4 linked regions of the Coturnix japonica genome follow. The protein of the gene in region 1 interacts with the protein of each later gene in a biochemical or structural test. Links are inferred from orthologs where the notes say so. Each region holds a gene or a part of one and is shown in the gene's direction. Other genes may lie near its edges.

Region 1 (7,775 bases):
TCTGAATCTGTTCATCCAACAGAAGTGTTTTTTTGGGTGGGGGAAGAGGTTTTATGATTGCACTTTATGCTTGGAAACTCTTTGTTGTCCTCTGTATGACAGAAAGCACAGCAGGTAAATTGCAGCTGAAGTGTTACAAGGTTTATTGGATCACGTTCCCAAAAAATGAACTAAACTATTAGAAAAGTAACTCACAAAACAGGAATCTGGAGTGGAGGTGAGAAGTGTGGTTTCCACATGTAGCCACAGTGAAGTGTTTCCATCTCAGTTTTGCTTGTAAAATCAGCAAATGTGCAGGGAAGCCATTGGAACTTCCATGTGGGAGCGTGGGGGCTGCTTGGACTGAATGTGCAGAAACCAAACAAGACATCAATTTTTCTGAATGGTCAAATATTAAAAATAAACCTTTCTATATAAATGCACAGATGTAATATAGAACCTTTTGACTTGTGCCATGCAATGCACTGCAGGGTGTTTTAAGATAAGCATAGTGGCCGTCTAATTAAGGGAAGGTGTTAATAAGATTCCAGATTAAAAAAGGCTGCAAAGGGTTAATATATTTCAGTATTTCTCTCATCCCATTTTGAATTGCTTTGTTATGTTGTGCAGTTAATGTTAGAACAGTAGAGCAAGACTTAGAAATTAGTGAACCAGCATCACAGCTCCGAGGATGGGAGGCCTGAAGCAGCTGCTGAGCAGTCTGAGCCTCTGCAGCAGTTGCACAGGAGGGGAGAGGCAAGCAGTAACAATTATAGCTGAGTCTGGGTGTGCGGCTGCTGAGCGTCACTGCACCCAATTGCAAGTCATCAGCACATAGAACTCTCCAAATTCATTTTGCCATCTCCCTGCTGGCAGCAATTAGAGTGGGCTGCCGTGAAGAAAGGAGAGATCTCATTTGGTACTGGGGATGATTACTGCATCGGTCAAGACATTAATTGGCTGACTTTGAAGCAGCGCTGCTTTAATTGACAAACAAGGGCTGCAGTGTAAAATCCTCACAAAGCCTTACAAGTCTCCCATGTTTTTCAAGAGGTGTTAATACAAGAAATGGGGCTGTAATGTCTGTAAAGCTGAGACTCACTCATGCACATTTCACAATGGAAGTCTGTTGCCTTCGTTAATTTGTCAGCTTCTTATTTTTGAGTTTCTGGGTCTTGCCTTATCAATTTGGGGAGACCACACCTGTTTCTCTGTGCTGTCAAGCCAGACCCATGCTTGGCAAGCTTCTGTGTAACATCATGCGGGGACATAGGGCTTCCCCACTAGCAAAATCGACCATCAGTTTGTTATCTGCTTTGCTTCTGCAGCTTGGTGTAAGAAATACGCTGCTGTTCTCTCAACGCAGGGGATTCTCATTCTTGTTATGTCAGTGGCTTACTGTAATGGCAGCTTCTGGATCCTCTAAGAGCTCGCATCTTTCCCAAGCAATGTCCGTGTTACCTTCCAGTCTTGGAAATGCTGTCCTGGCTTACTGCGAGTGCCAAAGCCCTTCAGCTTCTGCTGTAGTCAGTGGCAATTGGAGGTGCTTTTCACTTATGAAAGACCTTCTTCCTTGAGGTGCATGATGAAGAGGTCGCATAATGATGTGGCTTGTGAAGATAACTCTTCATAGTAAGAGAAGAAGGATGTCAATCCTTTCACAGGTAGGATTTGCTTGCTGAGTTCAGCATGGAACTCACTGCTGCATTCTGGTTGCAGTGCCACGTGTCTCCAGTGACGCTGGGCATTTAGTCAGTGCAGTGAGCAAGGCTCATTTTGCTTAATGCTTTAAGGCAGCCATATACCAACAAACCGGAGATTTAACTGAAATATATAGCTCTGCTTTTCCCTTTTTATTCTTTCCCTACCCTGGAATTGCCATAATGTCCCCAAGATGAAATGTCTGAATCTGGGCAGTCCTCAGCAGCTACCACGCCGAGCACCACTGGAACCAAGTCCAACACTCCCACATCATCTGTGCCCTCTGCTGCTGTCACACCCCTGAATGAGAGCATCCAACCCATCAGCGAATACAATGGCACAACCAAGAGCAACAAGAGGACACGAGAAAAGCGGAACAGCCGGAACATGGAAGTCCAGGTCACGCAGGAGATGAGGAAATGTCAGCATAGGTATGGGAGCTGGAGCATGTTTATGAATACAGGTTTCTGAGGTAGCATCAGAACCAGAACCTTTTCTGTGTAATACAGAGGAAATTCCTGTGCTAACGTTCACCAGCTGTTTCCTAACAGGTTGAGACTATAAAACAACGTGCAACATCCTCTAGTGTAGCATTTGAATAAAAAGACTCACAGCTGAGTCCAGTTCTGTATTTTATTATTGCTTGCCCACAGTGCCAGCCTCAACCAAGCAATGAACGCTCTTGTTCTCATGGGCTTTGTAGATTTTACTTCTGGGGCAGCTTGGAAAGGACAAAAATGTCACCTCTAACACATTAAAGGGGCTAATGTAGTACACAGGTGACATCCTTAATCCTTCGGGAATTCTCTATGCAAACAGACATTGTGTTTATGTTGCTTGCCTCAGCTTTCAAATGTTTCTAATACATGTAAGTTGGCAAAAGGGGGAGTCCCTTATTTTCTTCCTCAAATATTGGTCTTAGGCTACAGATTATACAGAAACCAGGTTAGATTTCATGCACTGAACTGTGCAGTTTCAAAGTGAAATTTTAACTATATGCAGCACCATGACATTGTCAAGCTGTGCTATTTGCAGCTGCAGAAATGCCTTTAAGGAGCACTGTTGCCATAGATCATGTGTTGTCTACGTAGGTATGGGAAGCAGTGACGAGTGGTCCGATGTTCAGGACATCATAGACTCTACTCCTGAGCTGGATATGTGTCAGGATCCCCGCCTGGAGCGCCCTGGTAACAGGTATTGGTTGTGACTTTCTGCTCTTGGCCCTCTGTCTTGTTTTTGTGAAGGGTGGATATTGTGGTCCAGAGCTCAAGATGCAGCTGTTTCAGAAAATGCATAAATTCTGCCTAATGCAAAAATGAGGTGCTGGCAGCCTTTGAGATCTCCAGGGAAGGCACATATCAGTAATATGGAAGGATCTGTGTGAGTGGCCCAGGCTGCTCTGAGACAGGAAAAAAGAAATCCAGGGCTGTTCACAGCATTTGAGTCCTTATCTGATCTTACTGCTGTGAGGGTTGCTGTTGAAGTTGGTGGGAGTGTAGGCATCACTGCACAGCCTTAGGACTGCCAGTGGAAGGTTTTCTATGAATTTTTGAGTAGTTATCAGCTATTTGAAAAGGCATCAGCGAGGCAAGGCTGAGGTCATGCAAGGTAGGTATTGGTACATGGTATGGGGAATAAAACATTCTTTTTCCTTTACTTACTGAATTCCCTCAGTCAACCCGTGGCAGAATCCACTCTCAGAGTTTTGACTGTACTGGTCTGTGATGCTCAGTATTTCAGAGTTATGTTCTGGCTTAAACATCACCAAGTAAGAAGAATCCTTGCCTTTCTTTCTTCCAACCACAGCCCAACCCAGGGATTGTGAACAAAGCGTTTGGCATCAACACAGACTCCCTCTATCATGAACTTTCCACAGCAGGATCCGAGGTGATCGGAGATGTTGATGAAGGAGCAGATCTGCTAGGTAAAATTTGTTGGGACTGTTCTGTTTTCTCTGAGCAAGACAGCTCCGTTAGGCTTCTAGAAGCGTTTAGATTCACTCTTTTTCCGAACTTGGATGTTTGACCTTTAGAAAATGGCATGGAATTTGGGATACACTGTGACTGAAATATGCACCTACAGCAGTAATTCTTACCCAACAGCTTGAGTTAATGGCTGTGTATTTGGGCTGTCTTTGTGTCTGTAAGTTATTTTCCTTTGTTTGAAGATTGCTTCTTCCCCTCCTCCCACAAATCTTCACGCCAGTAATTCTGCATTCTGGCAGCTTCACTTGGAATAGAGCTTTTCTTGGAAGTTTGCAAGAAAAAAACCCTTTTGTTAAGATTTCTTTAAGTTTAAGGGGAACAATTGTCGTTCTCGTATGGAAACATCATAGATTTCACTGCAGTTTTTACCTTCTTAGTCATCCAAGAGAGTTTTGCATTCTCCTTTTAGGCTGATATTGAAGGAGCTTCTTGTATCTGAAGTCTGATTATGTTCTATGTTCCCAATGAGGACTTTGAAGCAGTCAGAGAAGCAGCTTTGTGTCAGGTAGCAGTCTGATAAAGCTGTGAAAGTGTAGCAGTCCCAGCTGCTTGTGGGTTGTTCCCCCTTTCTCTCATATCTCCTTTCCTGGTCTTCATTATCCCTTTACTCTGGACATAGGGTAGGACTAACAGTTGGGTAATGGGCCCTGCGAAGTCCTTTTTTTCAGTGTTAGGGTGGCCTCCTGTGTTTGCTTTGGAGATTAAAATCTACTTCATTAATGGGTGTTTTATGGTGAAAACAGCAGTTGTTACGTTAGTGGTAAGTTCATGTATATAAATGATGTTTTTCTATACAGAAGTTTAAATGAAATTATCAGACTGAGCCCTGGCGCTGCTGTTGGAAAAAAAAAATGTTGTAAAATGCAGCTGTCCTTTGCATGCTGAAATGTGGCTGAAGTGCACGTTTAATTTCAGCAGATCTGTCTGCTAACAGGAGAATGATCACAAAGGGAGGGGAACAAGAAGGCAGTGGAAACTGGCCGTTCTGCGCTTAGTGCTGTGTGACTGAGAAAAGAAAGGTTTATCCAGGCTGAGATGCGACTGTCTGAGACTCGTGTCTGGAAGGCTGGGGGTGGCTGAGGCGTGTGGCTGCAGTTCTAACAGGGGTTCCCTCTCCTTGGTTTTTTTGTCCTGTATGTAGAGTCGTGGCAGTTCCCGTCCTTACTATTTCATGCCTTTTGACACTGAAATGGCTGAATCATTGTTAATTCTTTTTTTTTTGAAACAAAATTTTAGTTTTGTTGGTTTCAGTCACTGATCGATCCTTTTTTTCACTTCCTTTTTTCCCTTGTCTCTCTGTGCTTCGCTGGACATGGCCCATAGGGGAGTTCTCAGGTGTGTATCTCTGCTCTGCTCAGTTTCCTTTCTTGTTTGTTTTTACCTCGTTGAGACTCAATGATATGGTATACACGTGTGATACTCCCCTGCTCTTGTCCAATCACGGTTGGCTTTGCTGACTTTCTCCCACCTTTGCCTTGCTTGGTTCCTTGCACTGGCGGGTTCCTGGGCAGGAGGCTATTCCTGCTTGGTGTTCACGTGTCTGCTGTGTTTTGATCCGCTTTTTGTGTAGCTTTCTGCAGGTTTTGACACTGGCCCGTCTCAAGGTCTTGAGAAAACCACGCTGTGCCTTTCCTTTGCTTTGGGGTGCAAAGTGCCTCGTTTTAGGGCAGGCGCTGTGCTCTGCGCTGAGCTCAGCTGAGCACAGGATTTACATAGTTCACTCCTGTTCTTCAAGTAAACAAGACTGTGAGGAGTCCCTCTGCTTGCATGATGCTCACTATGAGTTTCTTAATGCATCCTGACCCACAGCTGCAGTGAAAAGAAAGACTTTTCTGTAGGGAAGAGAGTGGCAGAACCACAGGCCTTTTTTTGTTTGTTTTGTCTTTTCAGTAGGAGTTTGAAGTGCCGCCTCTGTTGCCTTTTGTCCCATACGAAGGTCAGCAGGCCTAAATTGCAGAATTTTCACCTCTCTGTAAAATGCATTTGGGTACTGATAAAAAAAATAATTAGATGAAATCAAGGAAATCGCTGTTGATTTCAGTGCAAACTGGATGAAGTTTCACCTGTAATAAGGACAGGCGACTTGGGCTGATACGGTACAAAATCTGTGGCATAATTGTGCAGTGCTGAGCTCTGTCACATTCCTCTGCACGGAACCTCCTGATGTTGGGTCTGTAAGGTCACAAAAGGGAGGAAGGAACGGCATCATCTTCTCTCTTAGTTCAGATTGTTTGGGCTGTCACTGTAGGCCATTTTTGGGTGGTCTTTTCTCAGAGACTCCCCCTCTGAAGTGGCACTGGAATTTATCTCAGTAGCAAAGTGGATTTGGATCTGTGCAGGGAAGGCCAGATAACAGCTCTGATATCCCTCCCGTTTTGTTTTTTCTCCTGCCCTTCCTTCACCCTGTTCATCATGTCTGTTGACTTGCCATTGTGGTGGGGTTGGAATGCACAGAGATATTTAGTCCAGGGTAAGTGATGAAGGTGGAAGAAAAAGATGAACTCGTCTTCAGCTTGTCCTGAACTCTCAGGCATAAATCCCTACCAGGCCAGGCTGCAGCTGAACAAGGTGTATGTTAGTTTATGCTGAGCATCACCTATACTGGCACCACATGCGTTTACACATGCTGATGAGCTGCTCTGTTTGCTATTTACAGATTGGTACTTAATGGCTGCTTTTTTCTCTTCCTTTTTCCCCCTTTGTCCCCCTATCTTTCTGTTCCCTTTCTCGTGTGGGATGGCTCTCATAGTACGGGATGATTTCTTTGGTAAGGCCAAGGCCTTTTTTCTTTTTTTCTTTCTTTTTTTTCCTCTTTTAACCACGCTTCTTTTTTTCTTTTACAATTTCTTCCATTCACTCAATATCCCCTCCATGTGTCTTGCATTACATTGGTTTGTGGGTTTATGTTTTGCTTTTCCTTTTTGTGATGGTGGTCTCACCTCTCCAAGAAGCAGGATGCAGCTGGTCCACAGTTGTGATTTGGGGATTTTCCTTCCCTTGATTATCCACTTTGATGCTTCATACTATTTGCCTGGCTGTGGGAGGTGCACAGTGATGTGTGGCTCTCTCCTTTGTCCCACACCGTAAGGAGTAAAGAATTTTCCTTTTAGTCACTTTTTTTCTATCTCCATGAGTGGGGCTTTGTCATTACAGCTTGTGTGAGATTATCTCATAGTGTCTCACTCTATGGCTGCAGGATGGCGTCATCCATTTCTTCATTGCAAGACCGGCCCTTCAGACCTCCCACTGGTTAAAGCATCAGGCTGGGGCTGGGTCACACACTAATTAGGTAGTTCTGGGGTAACAACTGACCCTCTGTACCAGAGTTCCTTTCTCTCCCAGAGGCAGACTCACCTTACTCAGGGATGAGAAGGAAAACTGTTATTGACCGTCCCACCGCCAACAAAAAAACCAAGCACGAGGATGCCAGCACTCACAGTGTCTTTTTTAATATCATCTTAGTGCCATTTTAATGCCTCACTTGTTAAATATTTATTTGATCATTTGTAGAATCATCCGAAAGGAACCAGAGAAATATTTAATAAACACGTGTCTGTATTGTGTGACCTCTGGATTTTAGAAACAGTGCATGTGCTGTGGGAGAAAAGGGTTATAGCTCATCCTTACCCAGCCAGAAGTACACTTTGGTTTTTGTTTGCAGTATTCCTTGACACACTGAGAAACCTGCCTGAAACATCAAAGTGATTGATTCTCTTTCTACCGATTGAAAAAGGAACCAAAGAACAACTTGAAATGCTGCTTCTTATTCCTTCCTGCTGGGAATTTGCTTTTGCCATCATAACTTCATGCCATCTAACTGTGGGAAGAGGATTTGTTTTGTTGGAGTGTTGTGATACGTTCTCACTTCTTGTATGCTGTCATGTTTCTCTAACTTCCATTAACTTACAGTTTATTTTGGTTTTATTTCATTGTGAATATTAATCAGCAAATAACAATTGTGGAAAATATTGATGCCTTTGCTGTAAAGGGATAAGGTAGTTCAGAGGGCAGGATGAGGAACACTACAGCACAAACACTGATGGTTGTGATGCCTTTTTGTGCCCCGGGGCTTGTATTGAGAAGCAAGCTGCAGCACTCAGCACTGTCCCT
Region 2 (7,232 bases), on another chromosome or scaffold:
TTTAGACTTTCTTCTAGGAGCTGTATTTGCAGAGCTGGGCACTACCAGGCACTTTCTGAGGGTACTTTCCATGAGTGGTGGGCACAAGGGAGGTTGAGCTGAGTGGGGGCAAAGACTTGGTGGAATTGAGTTTGCTTAAAAGGTTGAGAGGCTTAAATTCTCAGTGGTGTAGAAATGATGAAACTTGGAGGCAGGGGCACAGATGGAGTAGGTGCCAGTTGATTCAGACTTGGGAAGCTGTAATGGCCAGGTGAAAAGGAGGCAGAGGAAAGCATTACCTAGGTTCTGAGACTTCTCATTGCTGACCTGAATGCTTCCTCATTGCCTCCCAGTGACTGACTTGCATCTCTCACCTTGGCTTGCCATAAAAAAATTCGCAATAAATGGTTTTTCTGAGAGCTGACTCTTCTCAAGTCAGTCAGTTTTATGCTAGAAGAGAGTGCATTTTAGCTGAAGTGATAAACTATACCCCATGCTGAAACAACAAAGTCTGATGGTTTTTTGATGTACAGCACAAGGAGTTGCAAAAGAAGGAATGATAATTCAGATGCAAGCGGAGGTGCTCCTGCTTCTCCACTTCAGGGTACTTCTCTTTCATTCCTCTTTTAATCTCTCATCCGTATGGCTGTCATTGTTCTATTGATAGCATTTTTTTAATTTTTTTTTTTTTTTTTTTTTGTCCTACCTATTGATCTGGGGTGATTTGAGTTCTTTCTCTGCTTCAGCCAATATAAGACTACACTGTAACCTCAGCAACGCTCTGTGGATGACATAACCAACCATTTGATTTTCCATTCACTGCCATGTAAGATTTTTGCCACCAATCATTTAATATTTTTCCATTCTAGATTCCTGTCTGAGGCACATTGCTAAAACCAAAACTTTTCAGACACATCGTCTCGTTCCTGCAGGTGTGAAAAAAACAGCATATGGGCCTTCTGTGAGAACCACCTTCCATACATTATGGGGATTTTTTCTTTAGTTGTATTAAATACAGTTGTAATATCTTAATTTTCTTTAATTCTTTACAGGCTGGGAACAGAATTTGGATGAAGCATTCTACATAAGTTGCCGTCATGAGCAGAAGCAAGCGTGACAACAATTTCTACAGTGTTGAAATTGGGGATTCTACGTTCACTGTATTGAAACGGTATCAAAACTTAAAACCAATAGGATCAGGAGCACAAGGAATAGTATGGTAAGGTTTCTTTAAAGTATAAATATGCTTTTAGGTTCTGTTAATAGAATTTTTGGAGTGCCTTTACAATTATACATTACATGAAAAACAGTGTTGGTGATCATTAGTCACTCACAGTGCGTTTTGTTTATTTTAACCTACATCCCTTCCTGCTTCAGAACTGGAGCCCTTCTGTGTAAATTCATTTAGGTGTGCTGAGTCCCATAAATTAATGGGGAAAAACCTGGATAAAGGAACTAATCCTGATCCTAAGCCACGCTGCTCCATGTGAAACAAAAGCAAAAATAACTCTTTATATTTGATGCTTCTACTTGCTTTTTCTTCTTAAAATAGTTTGCTAGAGACCTGTTTCACTTAGTTCTATAGAAGTGTCTTACACCAGTTAGTGAGCACTTGCAATGCAGACTATCAGTGTAATATGCAAATTGTGCTTATGGTAAATGAAATTGTTTCAGTTAAGCCACTCTGATTGTCCTGAAATGAACCAGAGCACTCATATGGTTATATTTTGACCATTTCTGAAGGAGATAGTATATAATTCTTGTGATTTGGGTTGAGTCGGTTTTTGGTTTCTTTGTTTTTTCATTTCCACTAATTCAGCCTAATTTGGAAGAATATAGAATCATAGAATCACTGAGGCTGGAAAAGGCCTCTAAGGCCATCCAATCCAGCCATCCACCTATCAACCAATATTTCTCACTAAACTATGTCCCTCAGTACAACATCTAAATATTCCTTGAATGCCTCCAGGGATAGTGACTCCACCACGTCCCTGGGCAGCCCATTCCAGCTCCTAACCACTGCTTCAAAGTTTCTCCTAACATCCAACCTGAATCTCCCCTGGTGCAACTTGAGGCCATCCCCACTAGTCCTGTTGCTGAAGTAGTTTTGAAGTAGATGACTGAAAGGCTCAGCACTGAAACAGACTCTAAGGCTATGTTTATGTACTGCAGATTTAGAAGTTCATCATTTTTGCCTTATCTCCTCTTTGCTTCTCTCTCATAAGATATGGAATATCTTACAGGTAGATAGAGGAAATATAAACAAACAAAAAGTTATCTGTATGTGTTCTTCCAATTTATTTATTCTTTTCCTCTTGTGACTGAACAGTTACATGATGCTCAAAAAAAATCATTCAAGCCTACATACTGTATAGACAACATATTTCCAATTATGTTTGGTAAATGCTGGCCATTTTTGGCAGATGTTCTTCATTAGTTTTGTATACCATTCTCAGCAAGAGACAATAAAATGGTATTTTTCCCTGCTGAGGCTTTTTTACTAGCTGACAAATATTTCCTGAGTCTGCACAGTAGTCAGCTGCTGTATTACTTCTTGCAGAAAACAAAATCCCTGCCTTTCTGTCATGGAAATACGTATAGAAGTTGTCCCAACTAACAGTCCTCATCGTTTCAGCAGCTTGTGTTACTGAATCATATAACGATCTTGGCAACTATCTGGAAACAGAATTTTATTCTTCCTTGAAGACATCAAGATGTTAGGGCTGTCCTAGCTTTTTTATTATTATTATTTGTTGTTGTTTTGTTTTTCTTTTATCTTGATGTTAGTGCTCTTGTTGTAAGGATATTAAACAGCTGCATCCTGCATAATAAATGAGAGCATGGGGCCTATGTATAACCTACTTTTCCTCTCTTCTTCTCCCTATCTTTCAGTAGAAAATTATATGTAAAATTAATGTGGGTTTTATGTTTAAAGCGTTTTGGATCTTTTTAGGCTGTCTGCTCTTCAGTGCTAATGAGTGGCAAGAGATCAGTACCTTTCGGCAGATGTTGTAGGAAACAGAGGTTCTGCAGTTTTTAGTGGTGATTGCTATGTGGTAGGACTATGAATCTGGGAAAATCTTTCAGAATTTTGCATTGCATAGCATACATGAACACCTTGCTGGTACCTTCCCCAAAGCTGATTAATACTGGAAGCTTTGTTTATGTTCAGACTTAATACATGGTATCTGGAAAAGTGGAAAATGACTGAGCTTAACTGATTGTAATACTGATATGAAATAATGTTATTTTTGTTTACAGTGCAGCCTATGATGCCATCCTTGAGCGAAACGTTGCAATCAAGAAACTAAGCCGACCATTTCAGAATCAAACCCATGCTAAAAGAGCTTACAGAGAGCTTGTTCTTATGAAGTGCGTTAATCACAAAAATGTAAGCGGAGTGTTCTGCTTCAAATACTGAAAGATCAACTGTGTGGTTGTTCTTTGTGAGCATATTAATGACCATTCCAGAGATGACATCATTTATGGATTATAATGGTATTCAGAACATGCCCGTATGTCCGTGTTAAGTAAAAAAGGATCTGAGAAGAGCTGTTGCAGGCTAGTGTTAATACCTGTCCAGTCTCCAAACTCCTCCTTCAGACTCAGGAAGGGAGACGGTGTTATGTTGCTTCATTTTACAGACAGCTGGCAAATGAGAATGCTCTGAGTGGTAATTGCATTCTTGTTTCTGTTTCTGCTGCTAAACAAGTAGGAGGAAAAAGCCTGCAATAGTTTTTATTTATTTCTTTATTTTGTAATGCATGAATGAGTTAGGAATCTTATGTTGTGACAGCAGAAATTGTCTGATGCATGAGAAGCTGTGAAGCAGAGCTGACTAGAGATACTGGGAGAGAAAAAATGATAGATGTATAGGATTTGGACTACAGAAGGCTTGTATTGGCCATTTTCTGTCTTAAATGACAGCTGTATGCCATCTTTATCACCTTTCCAATCTACCTTCAGCAAGATAAAATTCTTCCTGGCTTTTAGGTTTATATGTAGATTCTCTTAAGGAAAATTTCCCCAGTTGTGTGATTTGTGTGATTATAAACTATTGCAACCCTGCTTGACTCTTGATGAGTAATATCTTGACTGTTGCTATATATTCCATCCATGATTAGCAACTGGAAAATACTATAAAATTACTATTTTTTGTCTTTGGATCAATTTCTTGCTTCACCTCTGTCTGTGGCAAAGTGGTATCTCTTTAGTAGGTTTTCTTGTTGCTTTTTCATTTAATTTTTCATCATACAGAATAAGAATCTTAATGAAATTTCCTTAAATTTAAAGTAGGGAGCAAGGAAAGACTGACTAATTTCTTCAGGTTTTAAACTTTAGTGATATCTTTTAATCCACACAAAATGTTTTTAGGTTGTCCAATTTTTGGAGGAAGAATACTTCTCACAAAATCATTAGCATCTATTACAGCATGTTAGGCATAGTTGACACTGAGCATCTGGTGCTTCAGTGAATACCAGGAAGATTGCATCGGGATGACACATATCAGTTTTGAAATGTTGATTTGCAATTTTGCTATTGCTGTGATGTGATTATACTTCCTCTCTTTTTCTTTATAGATAATTAGTTTATTAAATGTATTTACACCACAGAAGTCACTGGAAGAATTTCAGGATGTGTAAGTTTGATTTGAACTAAAGCTGTGAATTAACTTTAAAAATATTAACATGGAAAGATGAACAAGGTAAAGAACACAGTAAACTGGCAGTGCAATCTGATTGTTTTTTTTCTCTTTATAAGCTACATAGTAATGGAGCTGATGGATGCCAACCTGTGCCAGGTGATTCAGATGGAGCTAGACCATGAGCGAATGTCCTATCTCCTTTATCAGATGCTCTGTGGTATCAAACATCTTCACTCAGCTGGAATTATACATAGGGTAAGTGAATTTCTGTGTTACTTTTTCATTGCATCAAGTTTTGTCTTGTTTATCTTAGAGTCCTTCTCCAACCTAAATGATCTTCTGATTCTATGTAAATGAGCCACAAAAAAAATCAGAAATGTGTATTCAAATAGTGCTCTGTAGCCTATGCCATAGACAGGGAGAGAAAGCTGAAAGGAAATCATCAGGCTTACTTTGTTCCTCTGTAATTCTGGAATGAACCTCTTGGATGTTTTTCTGGGTTTGTTTGAAAATAATCCGCACAGGGTGAAAAAAATAAAATGATTTTAACAGTGAGTTGCATTACCTTCTCTAATTCTATATCGTGCTCAATTTTAGTAGTTGTGACAAGAAATCTGAAATCACCTCCACCTTTGTTGTTTTGGTAACCAAACCTGAAATTCCATCTTTTGAAAGAACTGCCCAATTTATTTCAGCTCCTTTACTAATAGAGTAGAAAATAAGTATTTGAAGTCTCCAGACAAACAGGTCATGATAAAGACCTGTGAGTGGGGCTTTCATACACCTGTGTGTCACAAAGCATTCCTTCAGGTTGCCCGCAGGCAAAAATGACAGTTACTTTTCTAATGGCTTGTATGTGTTAAATCCAGTGAGGACATTCTGAATTTAAGATTGCCTATTCAAGTTGAACATCTTATATATTTATGTATAGTGTGAAGATTTCTTGAGGTTGCCTAGTTATAACTTTTCCAGTGTGCTTTCTGTAATTTTGAGAAACTGTAAACTTGTATTTTTGCAGTGTTATGTTCTTGGCTGATTTCTATTTATTTATTGATTTATCATAGAGAGAAATGATGCAGGAAAAAAACTAATTAAAGCTACATTTGTGCAGTACTTTCAGCCAGTACTGTGTAGTATTCCTCAAGGATGATGTACACAGCAAAATCATGAACATCAATTCTGAATGCTACAACTGCATTACTGTGCAGCGGTGCTTGTCAATTTCAGTAGTCTACCTCATTGTGGAATGGACTGCAAGCTAGAACTGGCAGTATGACACTCCCTTTCAGTCTACTGTTTCTCATTTAAGAGAACCGGGGTATTGTGTGAATAGCAAACAGAATGTAAATGGCAGAACATTTTTGCTCAGCTGATTCCAGTACACACTTGCTGCCTCACTCTAGTTAAGTGCTCAGGGAGGGAAGGTGAAGGCTTCCTTTACACATACAGTTTGCCCTCGTATGACTGTGTGTGTGAAAGAGCTGGGGAAAGGATAATAGGCAGAAGCACCACCCAGCTGTTACACCCTGCCCTTTCTACCCTGCACATGCTTATAGATGTGCTAGAATGGACAATGAGTCTCTTTCTGTGGGTCTGTGCAGGCAGGCAGTAAGTGCTAGTGCAGGCATTGCTTCAAGGACAGTTTGTGCTCCTGTAAGGTAGGCACTGAATCACTGAGCACGTAGAAACCAGTAATAAACGGAAACATTTGTACATTTGCTTCTTTTCTCCTACTTCATAGGCTGCTGCATAGCAGTGAGGGCAGCTTCAAGGATACATTTCTTGCCTTTGTAAATATGGGTGGAGTTCTGAAGTACTTCAGGTTGTGCATTAATACAGAGTTTAGAGGTAGCCCATTCCAATGAGATTGTCTATAGATACGAGAGCTATGTAAATAGTATGCATGAATGATTTTGAAGGACATTTCAATTGCATGTCTTCTTGGTAGACTTTCATTTGGCAGCTTGCTGTCTGACTGCTTGAAGCTTCACTGCGTGCAGTGAAGCTCTTTGTGTTACTCCTTTAAATTTTAAGGTGTGATGTGTCAAAATTCTTTCTGTGGAACAAGTTGAATGAAATCTCAGAAAGCAAAGAAGACATGCTTGGAAATGGGCATGAGGAAAGTGTGGCTTCAGTAATAACTTCTTATGGCTCTCTTCTGAGATTTCAGCAGCACTATCCTGAGTACATACATCAAGCGAATTTCTTGAAACTTCTTATTCCTTATCACAGTCTGCACTGCTGTGGCTGCCCTTGAAACATTTCAGGTAGTAATTTCCATGCACTTCTTTAGTGTCCTTAAATATTTTAAGCATTCTTTGCTACAGGTAGTTTCATATGTTTTTTAAATTTGTTGTTCAACTCCTAACATAGCTGAGATGATCGTACCACCTCAGCACTCAACTTTTTCAAAGCTTGACAAATGACTGAAACAAAAATATTTTCCACGTGTGCCTGTATCATTGCATGCTGCCTGCCATGCAGATAAGTGTGGGGCTTTCTTACAGCAGACCAGAGGCACAGAACAAGGCAGGCATTACACACAAAGGATTTTAAAATGTTTCACCTGTAAGTTGCAGAAGATATATTTAGCTCTCATGGCATTGGG
Region 3 (7,892 bases), on another chromosome or scaffold:
AGAGGAAAATATGATTTTCCAGTTGCTGCTTTTGTCTCTCAAATTCTTTGCTGGGCATTATGGTATAAAATGGGAGAGCCTAAGCTACTGCTGCTGGGTCAAGGCAGCCAAAGGTCCCTTTGATCATGGTGTCTGGGAAAGGAAGGCTCCATCCCAAGATCTCATGCAATGCATGCTCTCTGGCCCTCACCCAGCATTTCAGAGCACTGCAACCATTACTTTGGCATTGTGCCCACAAAGTGGCTATGGTGAAGAGGATTCTTAATACTTCGACAGCATGCATCCCTTATATGGTGTGCTGGGTGTCTGACGTCTCATTTGGGAGAATGAGAGAGCTATGGAAATGAAGTGCAAGGACTGATTGTACTAAATTAAATTAATTGTGTGCTGTCAGTCCTGACATGGTATCATCTCAGTTTTAGTTGGAGTGCTTTGACTTCCTCATGGGAGCAGTGGCTTGCTAGTGTGCAAGACATGTGAAACTGGGGATCTCTACGTGTAAAACATGTTCTGGTAAGTGTGAGAAACATCAATGAGTTGACTGAGCTGTGATCTAAGAAGCAACTTGAATAAAAGGAACATCTCCCATGCGAATAATTTTCCAACAAAGGTGCTTTTAAGAAAAGGCAGCGCATTGGAGGACTTAAAAGTTTTCAAGGAACAGATTTCAGTAGGAAAGAAGGCTGAGCTGTCAGTAGGACGCTGAGATCAATGCAGCTTACCAAGTCTGGATGTTTCTTTTCTTGTTTCCATAGGTCAGAGCAACTTCAAAGAAAGCCCAGAGAACTTTTTTGGCTCAAGATTCACAAATCTTCACAAATCCTGACTTCTGGAATGTGTTACGTAGCTGGGGCTTTTACTGTCCATCACAGTCAAGGCAGAAAACTATATTCTTTCAAATTGTATATTTGGAGCACAACTTACTAAAATAATAAATATTTATACAACAAATAATACCTTCAGGCAGGCTGGATGCCATCTGTCAGAGTTGGATTTAATCTTAAGGTTGAGGCATGGTGAGCTGCCATGTAGAAATGTTCACAGAAGTTATCAGTGAGTGTGTCATGGTTTTCAGGTGAAGTTATGTGTGGCAGATATTGACAGCGTATTCATGTAGTGTATGGAGCTGGTGCTCGCATGGGGAAAGGAGTGAATTTGTTTGTTTTCTTCATGGAACAAGTTTAAATTCTGTTTAGTGCTCCAGTGTGCTGGGATCATTTACTACTGAATCCTTGGTATGTCTTATTTAGCTCTGCAGGGTAAACCAAGCATTAAACAATGGTCTTCAGAAGAGCCACTATATGTAGGAAGTGGCAGTTTTAAAAACTAAATGATATGTGAGCAGGCTTCTCTTTTCATCTTCATAGGGCAACTGGGATACTAAAAACATCTGCAGTAAGTTTAAAACTATATCTGTTCTTTTTGGTGTGTGTTCCCCTGCTAGAATTTTAGAGGTCATACAGTCCTTGACAGTGGACTGAATAATGAAGGTGTGCTTGTCTCAAAAACAGCAGTGCTATTGTGTGCTGAAGTACTGTTCTTGGTATCTGTGTAGATAAATCACTGCTAAAATAATTTTCACTAAAAACGCAGCAATTGAATTTACAAATAGCATTGTCATACCCTTTAAGAATCTCCTGTTCTTCCAGTTCATGTATGCTCTAAGTTATTCATTGCTCTTTCCTTTTGTTGTATGCAGTACTTAACAGTATAGTTTCTTTGTCCAGTACTGTATACCTGCACCCCTCTAGTGGTATTTGTTGGCTTCAGGTCAGGACTTCTTTTTTTTCCTAATTGCAGTGAATATGAACACGTTGGAATCCTTCTCATTTATCTATTTGCTAGCATATCTCTCCCATGTCAAGTACTGTCTTCTTGCTGCTTAATGTAGTATAGACTTATGCAACATATGATACTGATTTACATAGATAGTAAGGAGCTCTTTTGACTTGAACAGTGTTTTCAGTTCTTTATCACACAGAAGCCATTTATCATCTTGTAAAGTAATAATTTTCTTAAAGTGGCCTAGTCTAGCAGCTGTATTCCTGCCTGTCCCCAGTTACTCTCTTAGCTCCTTGTGTAATGGTCATGAGGAAAAGGCAATAGCTTTTAAAGGCATTTTGATGATGGTAAGCACAAAATCAAAGACGATTCTTTCTTTTGGCTGAGGTTAAGTCTAGACCAGCCTTCATTAGTAATTATTTTACAGAATGAGATAAAATAAAATTAACAAAGGAATTTGAAAGTCTTGTATTTTACTGAAGCTGGCTGGGAAGTTCCATGCAATAGAGTCACACTGCAGACAGCTCATAGGTGCGCACAAAAAAATGTTGATATCTTGTTGATACCGTGTTTGGCTCTGGCTATGATAAAACCTGTGGAGTATTTGAACTGCTGGCAGGAAGGCTGCAGTGGGTTTCTTGGAGCTGTACTTGCCCCATGTGATTGTATGAAATTTTATTTCTAAGAAGATGAGCATTCCAGCAGGATAGAATTTCCCCTTTTCTCCCAGGAGTATCCTAACAGAGGTCTACGAAGGTAATGAAAGTTCTGGAGTGTAAGACATGTGACTGAGGCCCCTGGGTTGTCTCAGCCTGGAACAGAGGAGCTGAGGGAAGGCCTTGTGACAGCCTACAACTCCTCACAGAGAGCAGAGGGACAGCACTGAGCTCTGATTTCCAGTGACAGCAACAGAACTGGATGGAACAGCATGGAGCTGTGTCGGGAAGGGTCAGATTGAGGGTTAGGAACAGGTACTTTGCCAGAAGATTGTGGGCATGGAACAGACTCCCTGGGGTAGTGGTCACAGCCTCAGGTTGATGGAGTTCAAGGAGCTTCTGGACAACGCTCCCAGACACAGGGTCTGATTTTGGGTGGTTCTTTATGGAGCTAAGATTTGGACTCGGTGTTCCTTATGGGTCCCTTCCAACTCGGGGCATTCTGTGATAGTATTGCTGACTTGCACTTATCCCATTCTAAAGCTTGTTCCAGTGCAGAAAGTGTTACTGGTTGTACTTCACTTGCTGTTAAATGTCAAAAGAGTTTTCTCCTGCAGTTTAATGTGCACAGAGGAAATGTACTCTTCCTAGCTGTTAACCTGAGGAGGTCAGTAGTCATCACCAGTCCTTCAGATATCTCAAAGCATGGTGTTAATATGAGTCATGGGGCCCACAAGGAGTGACATGTTGTAGGTCTGGAGATGTGGAGAGTACCAATAGGAAGGGACAGATCTGTGGCTGTTCCTTGGGTTTCCAAGGGATTCTGTTTTTAGAAGCTGCATTGCTACCTGCGTCTGGCAATAGCAGTATGGATGGCTGCATTGGTGGCTGTGAATATTTGTTGCGAGCTCTTTTTCTTGTAGAGCACAGAACATAAATTAATTTCAGATATTCTGGTTTGTTTTGTTGTGTTCTTTTTTTTTTTTTTGGAGTGTGATGGACATCTATCCCTGTGTGTACAGCAGCTGATGCAAACAACAAAGCACATCTGCACTGAGCAATACTGCTATTGCTGCTCCTTCCTACACTGACCGGTGCTGCAGCCTCCCCCTGCAGTCCACTCTGTCCTGGTTCCCCATGAGGTACTGGAGCTGTGTCTGCAGATCCCATTTCTCCCTGCTCCCCCTTTCCCCCCCCTGCAGACCTCTGCGCTTTGACGTCATGTGCGCTCCTGCCCGTTGCTATGGCAGCCCCATTCCCCATCGCTCCGCCTGTCTCCTCCGGTCCTTCCACAATGGTACAGCCAGCATCAGCTGCACAATGGTTCCCAGGCAGTGACAGAGCGTGATTCAGCAACCAACCTCCTCTTTTATTCCACTATCATCAGACATTTTGCCTCCCCTTTTTCTTTTCTCCTCCATTCTCTTTTATGTAATTATTTAAAGGAGAACGTCGGATCCAGCTGCCCACCATTTTATTTTTCTTTAGATTATTTTTATAAGAAGCTCATCTCTTCCTTGGCACCATTTGGAATGTGGCTTAACAATACCACCTGACGTGCAGCTGGGGGAAGGTGGCTGGACAAGGACAGAGGCAGCACGGAATGGTAGGTACCTGACACTGGTGGTACCTGTGATACCACCAGTGGTACAAGACTGACCTGCTCTTGTGGGGTGGGGTGATAGATGCTGAGTGTTGCTTTAGTAATGGGGGAAGCAGGAGGCAGGTCAATGGAGCAAATGGTGAACTGGAGTGGGATGGCTGCAGCCCTAGATACTGTGGCTGAGAACCATTGTGTTCCTGTGGTTGGGTCTGTATAAGTGTGTGTTTGGTTGTTTTGGTGGTTTGTGAGAGCGGTGCACATCATGGATGGGGTGACAGTGCTTCGCCAGCTGGCTCATGTAAACAGTTGTGGTTTGCTCAGCCTCATCACTGCCTGGGGGCTTTGGGAGGTGCACAATTCAGCAGCAAGGAGTACATGATGGGAGCTGTATTGTCCATGCAGAGCCATATAAAATGAGAATCAGTGAAAGAAGAGAAGGTGATGCTAAGCAAATGGAAAACTGGAGGACGTGGGTTAGTGGGCATGGTGTGGGGATAGGTCAGTAGTTGAGCATGATGATCTGAGAGGTCTTTCCCAACCTTAATGGTTCTATGATTTTTATGACATATATCTTGGCCTTCAGGAAAGTGGCTGAAATGAAGAGAGAAAGGGAAAAAGGTGCTGGTGGGAAGGATCTGAAAAGCTGTGCTGAGTGCGGTGGTATCCTGTAAGCAAGTAGTTGTCCAAGGTAACCACTGGTCTTCTGCATGACTGCCCCAGTATAAGTGAATGGAAAAGCTGACTGCGTCTGATGGCACCATGTGAGCTTTGGGAGAGGTGTTTACAGCACGCTGCAGGGCAGCTGCTCTGCAAAAGAGCTCAACACTTGCTGAATGCTGCAGTGAAATTGGTGCTGCTTTGCAGGGAGATATTTTGGCAGAAAAGCTCTTACTATAAGAAGAAATATCAGTAGTTTTTCTTCTACAGAGGGACCTAAGAAGGAACAAAACAAATGCTATTTGCCTAACGAAGTGTTTGTGTTGTGCTCCCAGTGACCCACACTGGGCATGTTCCGTGGCGTTTGTGTCTTCAATGGCTTTCAGCTCTTTACATGGGCTCCTTTTGCTGCATAGCTGCATGGTATATTCACTGCAGCCTTTCCCCCCTGTGATGTGCTCTGTGTGATTTTGGCAAAGATCTGTTTAAAGACAAACTAACTGTCCTTGAAAATGCAGATTTTTTTTTTTTTTGGGGGGGGGAGGGGGAAAAGAATAATAGCATAAAGTTTTTTCTTTTAAAAGAGAAAAATGTAAATACCCAGGAGGAGCCTGGAATCAGGTTGTTGGACACAGAGGATGTAAGACCAGCTTCAGAAGAAGGAAAAGGTTGAGATGGAATGAGATGGCCTTGCTTCTGCACAGGGCTCTTATCTTTGCCCACACATAATCTTGCTTTGGTTTTTGTGCCCTGGAGAGGTTCTCCAAACCTCAGATCTTTAACCCTATTTCAGAATGTTGCTCTGTAGCCACCAGCCAGGAACGCATCAGAGCAGTATTTTCTTCCATATACCCCTGCTGTGTGCTCACTGTCTTGATGCTAGGAAAGGTGGCAAGGAAATACCTTTCAACTGGCTGAACTGGCTTTCTCCTGGGGGGAGCAGATGTGAATGACAAAGGTGATTTGACCTCAGCCATTAAACCATATTCCTTCTCCTGACCCTCAGTGAGCTGCGTGCTCACACAGTGCTCCATCCTGCTGCTCCAGAGCATGCAGAATTAATCACAGTCCTGGTGTAATTGTTACTGTATTGAGCAATATTAGGATTGCAAACATGTTTCTAAATGGGTTAAGGGCAAAAATCACTTGATGTGAAAACCTGGTTGATTTCTGTTGCCTGTCTGCCTTGTTGGTGCTAGCAAATGTTCTGTTGTTGGAAATGTGTGCACTTAAGGAGCTTTTTGAGAGCAGATTTTGGGGATGTGTGGGTTTTTGTTATTTTTAATTATCATTGTTTGTTTTTAATTATTATGATTATTTTGTTGTTGTCAGTCATTGACATGTTTATAGCCATTTAGAGACTTAATAGTAATTAATCAGTTGTTATAAGGCAAAAAAATCTTCCAGTAGTGTAACAGTATTAAATTTGACTCTAGAAAACAAAGAGGCAGCCATCAAAATGTCCCTACCATTGTGTTTGGAAATGTCACAAAGCTCTCCCACAGTTTGCTGTCCATTGCACAACTCGTGCAGGAGAGGGGTGGGGGGGAAGAAGCAGGCTGAAATGAATGGGATGTTGGCATTGCTCTTTAAGATATCATATTTGTATTGAGATTTGGAAAGTAGAAAAGCTGCACTTGCATCCCCAGCTTTGAAATTTGCTGTCTCTTAAACTCTTATGATCTATAAAGCTGGGTCAGTTCTTGGGATAGTTCTTGATAACAGAAGAAATCAGTGTGTTGATAAGCATTTGGAACAAAGTAAAGTCTGTTGTGTGTGTTGTTGATTTTCTTGTTTTTGTTTGCTTATGGTGAGCATTCTTCTGTCCATAGACCCTCTAATTCCATCTTGGGTTTATAACACCACTACTAGAAATTAGAACCTGAAGGCCTAATAATTGCAATGCTACCATAGTTGCTGCTCAGTTTTGTCATCAGGCTTCTCTGAACCCCAATACTGAACAGCTTTGCTTCCAGCATCACTGTTCTGCTGCCTTGTCACTGATTCTGTGAAACAGTGGTTTGAATGGGGCCACCTGCAAGAAAAATTAACCCTAATGAAGGGCAGCAGCTTGGAGGAGAAATGTTGCTTTTGCTATGAGCTTCTTTCTTGCAGCACCATCTGCATAGACAGACATAGGAACATGTCTTTCAGACAAACAAAAAAGCTTTTGTACTCAAGTAATGGCATTGGTCTAAAACTGAAAGCAATGTGTAACTTTGTTGGTGTACAATGTGAGGTAGTAGATTGGTTTTCTTTTCTCTTTCTCAGTGATAATGAGATGCAAGGGTAGATCCAAAGCAAGATTGAGCGTGGTACAGGATTTTACATCACAGTGTGTAGAAACTGAACAGTCCTTAAGCTGAATTGTTGTATTTCCCTTTTAGCCTGATGCACCTGCTTTTGTTAGCCATTGTGAAGGGCACTTTTGACTGTTTTTAATATAGAAGGACAGGAAGCTCAGCTCCTAATACTTCTTAGTCTATTTTGTTTATTCATTAAACAGCGATTGTTTGATTTCTTTTTAACTTTGCACATGAACATACTGGTGGCAGTAGAGTGTTCTCACCTTCGTGTTGAGGGAAGGGAAGGTCATTAACTTTCATTTATCTCTGGATTAAGTCTGGAGAATAGGACAGAACCAGAGCCTCTTTTAGAAAAACAAAGAGCAGTTTTACTTCTACACTGAGGTTCTTTTCCTGTCCAGGACCATGAACATCTTATGACTTCATGACTACAGGCTCTTGCTTGCATCACAGTGAGGCTATGGAAAATTTAGGGTAGTTCCAGCTTCTGGAACAGCTGCCAACTTTTTGCATTGTAATAAACACTGAAAGCCGAAGGCTCTGAAGAGCAAAATTCTGGTTTCCATCAATAGCTGTTTCAGCAGGATTTCACAACAGTGGGTCAGGTAACTTGGGGGACTGTGAATTACAATTCAGGGAGCTGGGGAGTTTGCAGTTTGGATGTGAAGTGCTGTGGTCTCTCTCTGATAAAGCAATCGATTTAACATATAGATTTTTGTTTACGTTCCATGACTTCCAAGATACAGTTCACTTTTGTTTGGAGTTATTTGAAGACATTACAGAACAATGCTAAGAAAATGTTGCCCAGACTTTAGTGATGATCAATGATGAATGCAGCTGCCTTCTGCTTAACGCTTAACACCTATTTGTATGCTTGGGGTTCTGTTC
Region 4 (7,232 bases), on another chromosome or scaffold:
TATAAATATTCTTGATGATATGCTTGTTCTAGATTGTATGTAAGGATTAAGAGTGGTTGTAGTTGCTTCTTTCATTGGAAGCAGTGCATTTCTGAATGACATGGCTTAAACGAGGCGTTGCTTCAAAACAGTTGGGGTAGTGCTAAGGTCAGTGTCTTGGGTGGAGAAAGGGATGATCTGATTTATTGACTTGTTTTGAGAAAACTTGATTTTTGGAACAACAGAATAAAACATTGCATAAATTCTTCATGTGAAACATCTGAACATTATGTCCAAGTTGAAGAAGGTGCAAAATCTAAATTTCTCTGTAAAAGTCCCTAAAATACCCAGGGGAAGTATGCAAAATGTAAGGGTACACAGTGCAGAAATCTCACCATAGGATGAGTGCCATCCTGTCATTTTTGGCTAGGAAAATCTTACTGTTATTTGTGTGTTGCGTAAATGAAATACAAAATGAGAACTCTAGAAAATGAAAAAGGAACTTGCTTGTTTTATGTAGAGTTTATTTGTGTATTTCATATACAAAGTGTGCTTCTATACGTGACTACTCACACTTCTTATGTTCTAGCATGCTCAAAACCTTAGAATCTATTTATCAATGAGTAACTGCTTGTACAAAATGATTTTGTTGAAAGAATTTTTGTTTGAGGCTTGATATTGATTTTTCCTTTCTTGCCCTGGATTTCAGATGGTTAAATAGTCAACCTGATTTTTCTGTCCCAACGAAGTTATTCTGTCCTTCAAGATAGCAAAACTGTGATCTTAGAAACTCATGTGAGTTTGTGCTGTCTATAACAGTTGCACTTGAAGAAAACAGTCAGGAGTTTGTTGCTGTTTGGAAACCTGTGTTTGGGCAGTGGGGAAAGAGTGAGTGAAGCAGAGCTGGTGAAGCAGGAATCCACAGCAGGAGCATGTTGCAGTTCAAGGCAAAAGTCCTTTGCCTGCAGAACTGGAGCACAATTTCTCGCTGTAATTTAGGTCAAGATGTTTATAAGTTCATTGGGCACGTGGCATCTTTACTCCTATTATTAAAAGCTGGCTCAAGATGCAAACTTTTAAAAGTGCTCTGAAGACTTTAATAGAATTCACTGTGATCAGGTTGGTGTTGCTTTCGGGTGGGAGGAGAGATGTGGAGGTTCTTCAGAGCTACCAAATACAGATTCTTTATGGAGACTCAATGTCAGTCACTGTCGTGTGGATAAGGAGAAAAAAAAAGGAAGGTAGAGGTGAAGTTGTTTGTGTGTGCTGGGATGGAGTTGTGACACATACCTGGTTTTGCAGATTGCAAAGGGATTTCTTCCCTGAACTGTCTGTCCCACTGTTGCAGTGGGCTTGCTGCTCATGACTGGCTTGAGCAGCTGTTTAGTGTGGACCCTGTTGGTTACTGGTTGTTTGCTAATACCAAGGTGCTGTTAAAGCCATTAATATACATAAAATTGTACATGAAATTTCTTCTTGATGAAATATTGGAAACACGAGCGCTTTCATCTTTCATATCTGGGAGGAAAACAGTTTCTCACTGGTTCCCTTCCTCCCATTTTGTGTTTTGTTTTGAATAGCTAAATAAAAAAGCTTTAAATCTGAGAGTGATTGTATCACTGTGAGTAATAACTTGTGTGTGTCACAGAACTGAGTCGAAATGAAAACTAGCAAGCCTTTAATGAAAACAGTGTGGTGGCTCAAATGTGGGCACTGAACTCCCAGATAACAGCACCTTGTGTGTGAACCCTGCCAGATGCTGGTGGTACCTTTTCCAGTAGGGAAGGCAGTGATTTGATGTTGGTAAACTTAATACAGTTTGAGTATTGCTGCTGGAGATGAGCTGCACCTCTTGTAATAGTGCTGTAATACGGTGGTCCTTCACATCTGGTGCTGTCTGCGTCCTGATGAGGTGGGGAAGGAGGTCACAGAGTGGCAGCTTTGGAAAAGACATGAGTGAGAATTCTTTCCTACCAAATGAAAGTAGCATTACATGGAAATAATGTGGCAATCCTTATTTAAAGTTAGAGAGGTAATAGATTGGAACTCTGTGTTGTTCCTGGTATGCATTTGCAGGTATTTTGTCAAATTCCCTGTGTGTTAATAATGAGGAATATTCCAACCTTAGTCCTGTTCTGGATATACACGTAATTTAGCCTTAGATTCTTACTGTTTTTAAAGTGTTTGCAACTGTGCCTTCAACTACAGAAGGAAAGAACAATTGGAAAAACTACCTAATTAATGGTCATTTTCATTTTTAAGTTGCTGCATTTCTCCCTACAATGTGTAAATCTTCCATATTCATTTTTGTTCTTGCTAAAACCAGACAATTAATTTTCTGGGAAGCACTGAAATTGCTTTGAGTTGTAAACTATCCACATCCATATGAGAGCACTGACGCCTGCAGGGCAGATCAGTTGTTGTGATTGTTCTTTAGGAAAGATCAATGAATACTGCAAATGTTAAATGAATGTCAGTCAGCAACAGTGCCCAGAAGAGTTCCCAAGTGTACAGACTAAGCTGGAAATATACAGGCAGCTGAAATATTACTTAAAAACGTGCTTAACGTATTTTTAGATCTCTCAGTTTTGAACAGAAGTCTCAAGTCAGCAGATTCTGTCTTACTTGGGGGAGGGCACAGAAGGCTTTTCTTAAGAATGTTAGTGGCTTCTGCTCAGCCTGCCTTTGTTTTTTAAGGGATGTTCGGGTTCTCTTTTAATGTGTTTTTTTCTAAATGTGAAATGAAGTTAGTGTAAGCAGCTTAGTTGGTATTTATTTCCTCAAATCTTCATTTCTTTCCTTGTTCCCATCTCCCCTCTTCCCTCGCCTCTCCCCCAAGCAGACTTCAACTTAAGCTGTTTGTCTTTGACAACTTGCAGTGCTGCGTTCGATACAGTCCTTGGAATAAACGTTGCTGTAAAGAAGTTGAGTCGTCCTTTTCAGAATCAAACCCACGCAAAGAGAGCTTACAGAGAGCTTGTTCTTTTAAAATGTGTCAATCACAAAAATGTAAGTCTGCCTTTGTGTTTCCCTCTCTCGTTCTCTCATATCTCAAAAGCTCAAGATTTGCTTTCTTGCAAATGTTTAACCAAAGTAGCAGAAAAAAAAAAAATGGTGAGAGAAACCAGAAAAATTTGCAGTGGGTTTTACAATGTGAGGTTCAGCTCTCGGTTGAGCTGTTTGGAGGATGAAGTGCCCAGAACAGGAGGCTCTTGTTGCAGCATCACTATGGGTTTACCATCAGTGTGGACTTTAGAGATGGTTTTGCTGTAGTGCATCTGCCTTTTTACATCCAACTGCAGCAAGCCCTGTTTGGCACTGAGTTTGGTTGTGGGCTTGGCTCTTCTAGCTGCTCTGTAGTTATATTTCCTGAGTTTATGCAAGATTTTTATTAAATATAATATTTGCCTGGTGGATTTGGAAGGTATATTGGTGCAGCTTGACCAGTAAACACAATTGAAATGCCGACATACCATACATGCATGCAAGGTTATCGAGCCTTCTACTTGATGTAATTAAACATGCGAGTACAAGAATATAAGGATCACAGTGTGTTGCATTGTGGTGCCAATATAAACTGGGAACAGTGATGATGGTGAAAGTTTTGTACTCGAGTGTCAAAGTTCCCTGAGTCAAGTAATCTTCTATAACTGCTGAAATATGCTTTTGGTGAAGCCCAGAAGTAGCAGAATAAAGGCAAGGTTGTAATTAAGGATGGCAACATAGTAATGGTAGCAGTTCTTTTAGAAACAATGTAAATTGAATGGGGCGTCACCTTTGCTCTTGTTTAGTTAAAATTTCTTGCCCAGTACATGTTCTAAAATAAGAGATTATTGTTCATGCGGGGAAAAAGGAACACATTTCAGGTACTGAAGAAGGATATGGGTGTTAAATAACGTAGAGGGGAAAAAAAAGCTTGTGCCCTATCTTAGTCCCTTCAGCACATGTGCTGCAGTTTTCAACTGTATCTGAAACAACAGTTCTTCAGTGTGAGTGAGTTAAGTGAAACCAAGTAATGTTAAATTGTGGTTAGTCCTGGTATGCAATTGGATTTGAATAATAATTTCTGTAGTGATTGGATTTTTACTTGAATTAAAGCTGAAACTTCTTTTTTCTTTATAGATAATTAGTTTATTAAATGTATTTACACCACAGAAGTCACTGGAAGAATTTCAGGATGTGTAAGTAGTAGATTTTTGTTTTAATTTTCCTGACAAATATTGAACTAAGCCATAGCTGTGCATCTCTGCTATCTCACTGTCTTTGTGCTGAAAGTAGGGGGTAACTAAAGCCTAAGTCTGAGCTTTGGTCAGTCTTTCTTGGCACTTCTGAAATAAATTGAGAAATAAAGTTGTTTTGCTACTACCATCAAATGGAAGTGGGAAGTTGTTATTTGCCTCCTATCCATTTGTTTATCTATCTATGATACTTTGCTGATTTCACCTGCATCTGCTTTGTGTGCATTGTCTTCTTTTAAATGGGTCACTTAAGGATAATAACTTGACAGCCAGATATAATGTGGGTGGTGATTCCAGTGATTGACTCTAATTTTGAAATGGTGTTAATGAATGATATTTCCTTAAAATCTTAAGCATTCTTATTGTTCTTATGGTTTATGAATGTTTTCTTCTGCTTCAGATATTTGGTTATGGAGCTGATGGATGCCAACTTGTGCCAAGTTATTCATATGGAATTGGATCATGAAAGAATGTCTTATCTCCTTTACCAGATGCTATGTGGTATCAAACATCTCCACTCAGCTGGTATCATCCACAGAGTAGGTAGTATTAGATCGTTACTGATATTCTTTATGAACACAGATGTTCTTAGGAACCTGAGGGGTAGGCAGGGAATTGCTGTTCTGAATGTTTATAGTTCTTTTGTTCATACTATGACTGTACGTGGAGGTTTTCAGATTTGAAGATGAAGACCAATGCATTGTTAACAGATCTTAAAACAGATTAAATCAGTTCTGTGGATTTAAGTGATGCTGAACTGATAAACTCATAAAATATGAGCAACTGTGTACCTTCCAATTTATTAAAGAATGAGTCTTTCCAATTTAATATTTGACTTTTACAAGTTATATTACCAAATGGTTGTTCAGAACTTTAAAGTCCTGAGCATACTTCATGCAACTGATTCTGGTTTTCTGCAGCTGCTCTTTGTATTTTCCATGACCAGTCATTCTGCTTGACAGTCATGCTTGGGTTTTTTTGTTCCTTTCCAGTTCTTTTTTCCCCCTATTTCCAGGATACACCTTTTAAATCTCTTCTCCCTGGGAGTTGAAAAATTCGGTCAGCTTCTAGTCTAACGTGCTTTTTTTTCTTCACTTTCAATCCATAAACATAATGGAGAGCCTGTATAAATTGCAACAAATCTCTGCCTTGCTGAAAAATCTACTGTTGTTTATAGTTAACGTGTAAGAGACTGAAGGGGAGGGCTGGAATTCCGGCTGGACTCCACCTGACTTGTTGGCTGCGATTTGGAGCTAAGGGGGAGACAAAATGTTTGCTGAGAAATTTGAGCCTGTTGGAGCTAACAGAGCAGTTGGACAGAACTGATGCTGGTCAGACATGAAAATGGGACATTGGTGAAACCAAACTAACCAAACTGTGAATAGCCAAACAAAGGCAGGAAGTTTATTTAAATAGAGAGGCTAAAGTGGATTGTGTTGTGTTAGTCTGGGACCAGAGCAAAAAGACCTGTCCAGACCTTGAGTGGAAACTCTGGATTAGATGAGAGATCGGATTTTGGAGAGAAGCCAGGCTAGGAAAGGGACAGAACTTGGATAGCTCAAAGGAATATGTCTGGGGATGACTTAAAGGGTCTGTGACTAAACAGAGCTTGAAATAATGTATGTGACACCAACCTCTGTTATTAATAGATGAATATTGAAATCTGATATGCTTCACATGGCCCAGCATTATAACAAGATGAGATAACAAATTTCACTGCCAACTACTGTAAATAATTATTCAGTTATTTCAAGAGAAAAGTCTGTGAGGAAGATTAGAAACTGCAAGCAAGCTGATTCAATGCCATTCTGCAAAAATTGGTTGCTTTCCTATTTGCATGTTCCTGCCTCCCTTAAGAAAAGGAAGTTCTGCACCTGAAAGCATAATTCATGTGGTTGAAACTACATCAGTTACTTGAGCAGAGTCCAAATATGCATCTGTAATTCAAATTCTTGTGAATGCAAACGAATGTAAAAGTGCTGTCATGGGGTAAACTGGTGATGTTATTGACTTCGGGGGGGGGGGGGGGGTGTATCATTCAGTGTGTAGATCCTTCCTTAACTGCAGTAATTTCTTATTAGGATTTGAAACCCAGCAACATAGTAGTAAAATCAGATTGTACACTCAAAATCCTTGATTTTGGACTGGCAAGAACGGCGTGTACTAATTTTATGATGACTCCATATGTAGTAACACGATATTACAGAGCGCCAGAGGTTATCCTTGGAATGGGATATAAAGAGAATGGTAAGTTACTGGAGTGATGCTTTAAATTGTTTGTCTAAAGCATATGTGTCTCCAAACATAATAGCTTTAAAAGGCTGGGACAGAGCTAATTTCCCTCTGCTGTGTCTATTCTTAATGCTAATCACATTACTGGAGATTATTAAAACATAAAAATAAAATGCACAATAAGTATTTTGTGGAGAATAAGAGTTTTCTACCGTATCCATATCTCCATTTAGCATGTTCTGTTCCTGCTTCCCTGCTGTCTTACCTTTTCCTTTGTTGTCCTATTGCATTTTTCTTTATCCTACCTATATACCAATCTATGAGAAACCTATGCTGCATGATGTTTTAGAAAACCAACTAACCGATGATCAGTGTGTAAAATAATAAACCTTTTTATCATTGTGATTTTTACTGTGAAGCATACTCTAAGTCTGTCCCCCCAGTGTCTGTGATGACTTCATTAAAGATCTATTTCAGATTCTCCCATAAACCATGTAGTTTATTCCCCTAAATCTATATAAATAGCACTTAAAGAGGCTGGGTGTTGTACTATATTTACAAAGGCTTTATATATTGAACATTCAGCCAACAAAACTACTGGCAAGGAAACTGTCCTTGACCCACATTACTGTTTTACTTGCTGGTATTTACTGGCTGTGAAGTAACATTCTGCCTCCTCTGGTCTTCTAACCTAGTACATCTTTTCGGTTATTCACTGGGGCTTGGGGATACTTTAGCTGTGTGATACAAGGGACTTGCAGGACCTTGCTGAGCCACTGAAAA

The links.
Region 2: the proteins of MAPK8IP3 (region 1) and MAPK8 form a complex in vitro, tested with the Homo sapiens proteins (3 studies listed by BioGRID, with this or other methods). The link is inferred for Coturnix japonica from reciprocal best matches to the Homo sapiens genes MAPK8IP3 and MAPK8.
Region 3: the proteins of MAPK8IP3 (region 1) and MAPK10 form a complex in vitro, tested with the Homo sapiens proteins (3 studies listed by BioGRID, with this or other methods). The link is inferred for Coturnix japonica from reciprocal best matches to the Homo sapiens genes MAPK8IP3 and MAPK10.
Region 4: the proteins of MAPK8IP3 (region 1) and MAPK9 form a complex in vitro, tested with the Homo sapiens proteins (2 studies listed by BioGRID). The link is inferred for Coturnix japonica from reciprocal best matches to the Homo sapiens genes MAPK8IP3 and MAPK9.

The regions. Positions count from the first base shown.
Region 1 is NC_029529.1:12,371,104-12,378,878, forward strand, and holds the start of MAPK8IP3 (C-Jun-amino-terminal kinase-interacting protein 3), read left to right. Parts: upstream 1-3,486; 5' UTR 3,487-3,604; intron 3,605-4,988; 5' UTR 4,989-5,000; intron 5,001-7,775.
Region 2 is NC_029521.1:15,696,818-15,704,049, forward strand, and holds part of MAPK8 (mitogen-activated protein kinase 8), read left to right. Parts: intron 1-1,031; 5' UTR 1,032-1,076; coding exon 1,077-1,198; intron 1,199-3,240; coding exon 3,241-3,370; intron 3,371-4,559; coding exon 4,560-4,618; intron 4,619-4,740; coding exon 4,741-4,879; intron 4,880-7,232. UniProt on the Homo sapiens protein: Serine/threonine-protein kinase involved in various processes such as cell proliferation, differentiation, migration, transformation and programmed cell death.
Region 3 is NC_029519.1:40,962,693-40,970,584, reverse strand, and holds the start of MAPK10 (mitogen-activated protein kinase 10), read left to right. Parts: upstream 1-3,671; 5' UTR 3,672-4,041; coding exon 4,042-4,044; intron 4,045-4,624; exon of another isoform or gene 4,625-4,729; intron 4,730-7,892. UniProt on the Homo sapiens protein: Serine/threonine-protein kinase involved in various processes such as neuronal proliferation, differentiation, migration and programmed cell death.
Region 4 is NC_029528.1:4,148,468-4,155,699, reverse strand, and holds part of MAPK9 (mitogen-activated protein kinase 9), read left to right. Parts: intron 1-2,858; coding exon 2,859-2,988; intron 2,989-4,101; coding exon 4,102-4,160; intron 4,161-4,617; coding exon 4,618-4,756; intron 4,757-6,298; coding exon 6,299-6,464; intron 6,465-7,232. UniProt on the Homo sapiens protein: Serine/threonine-protein kinase involved in various processes such as cell proliferation, differentiation, migration, transformation and programmed cell death.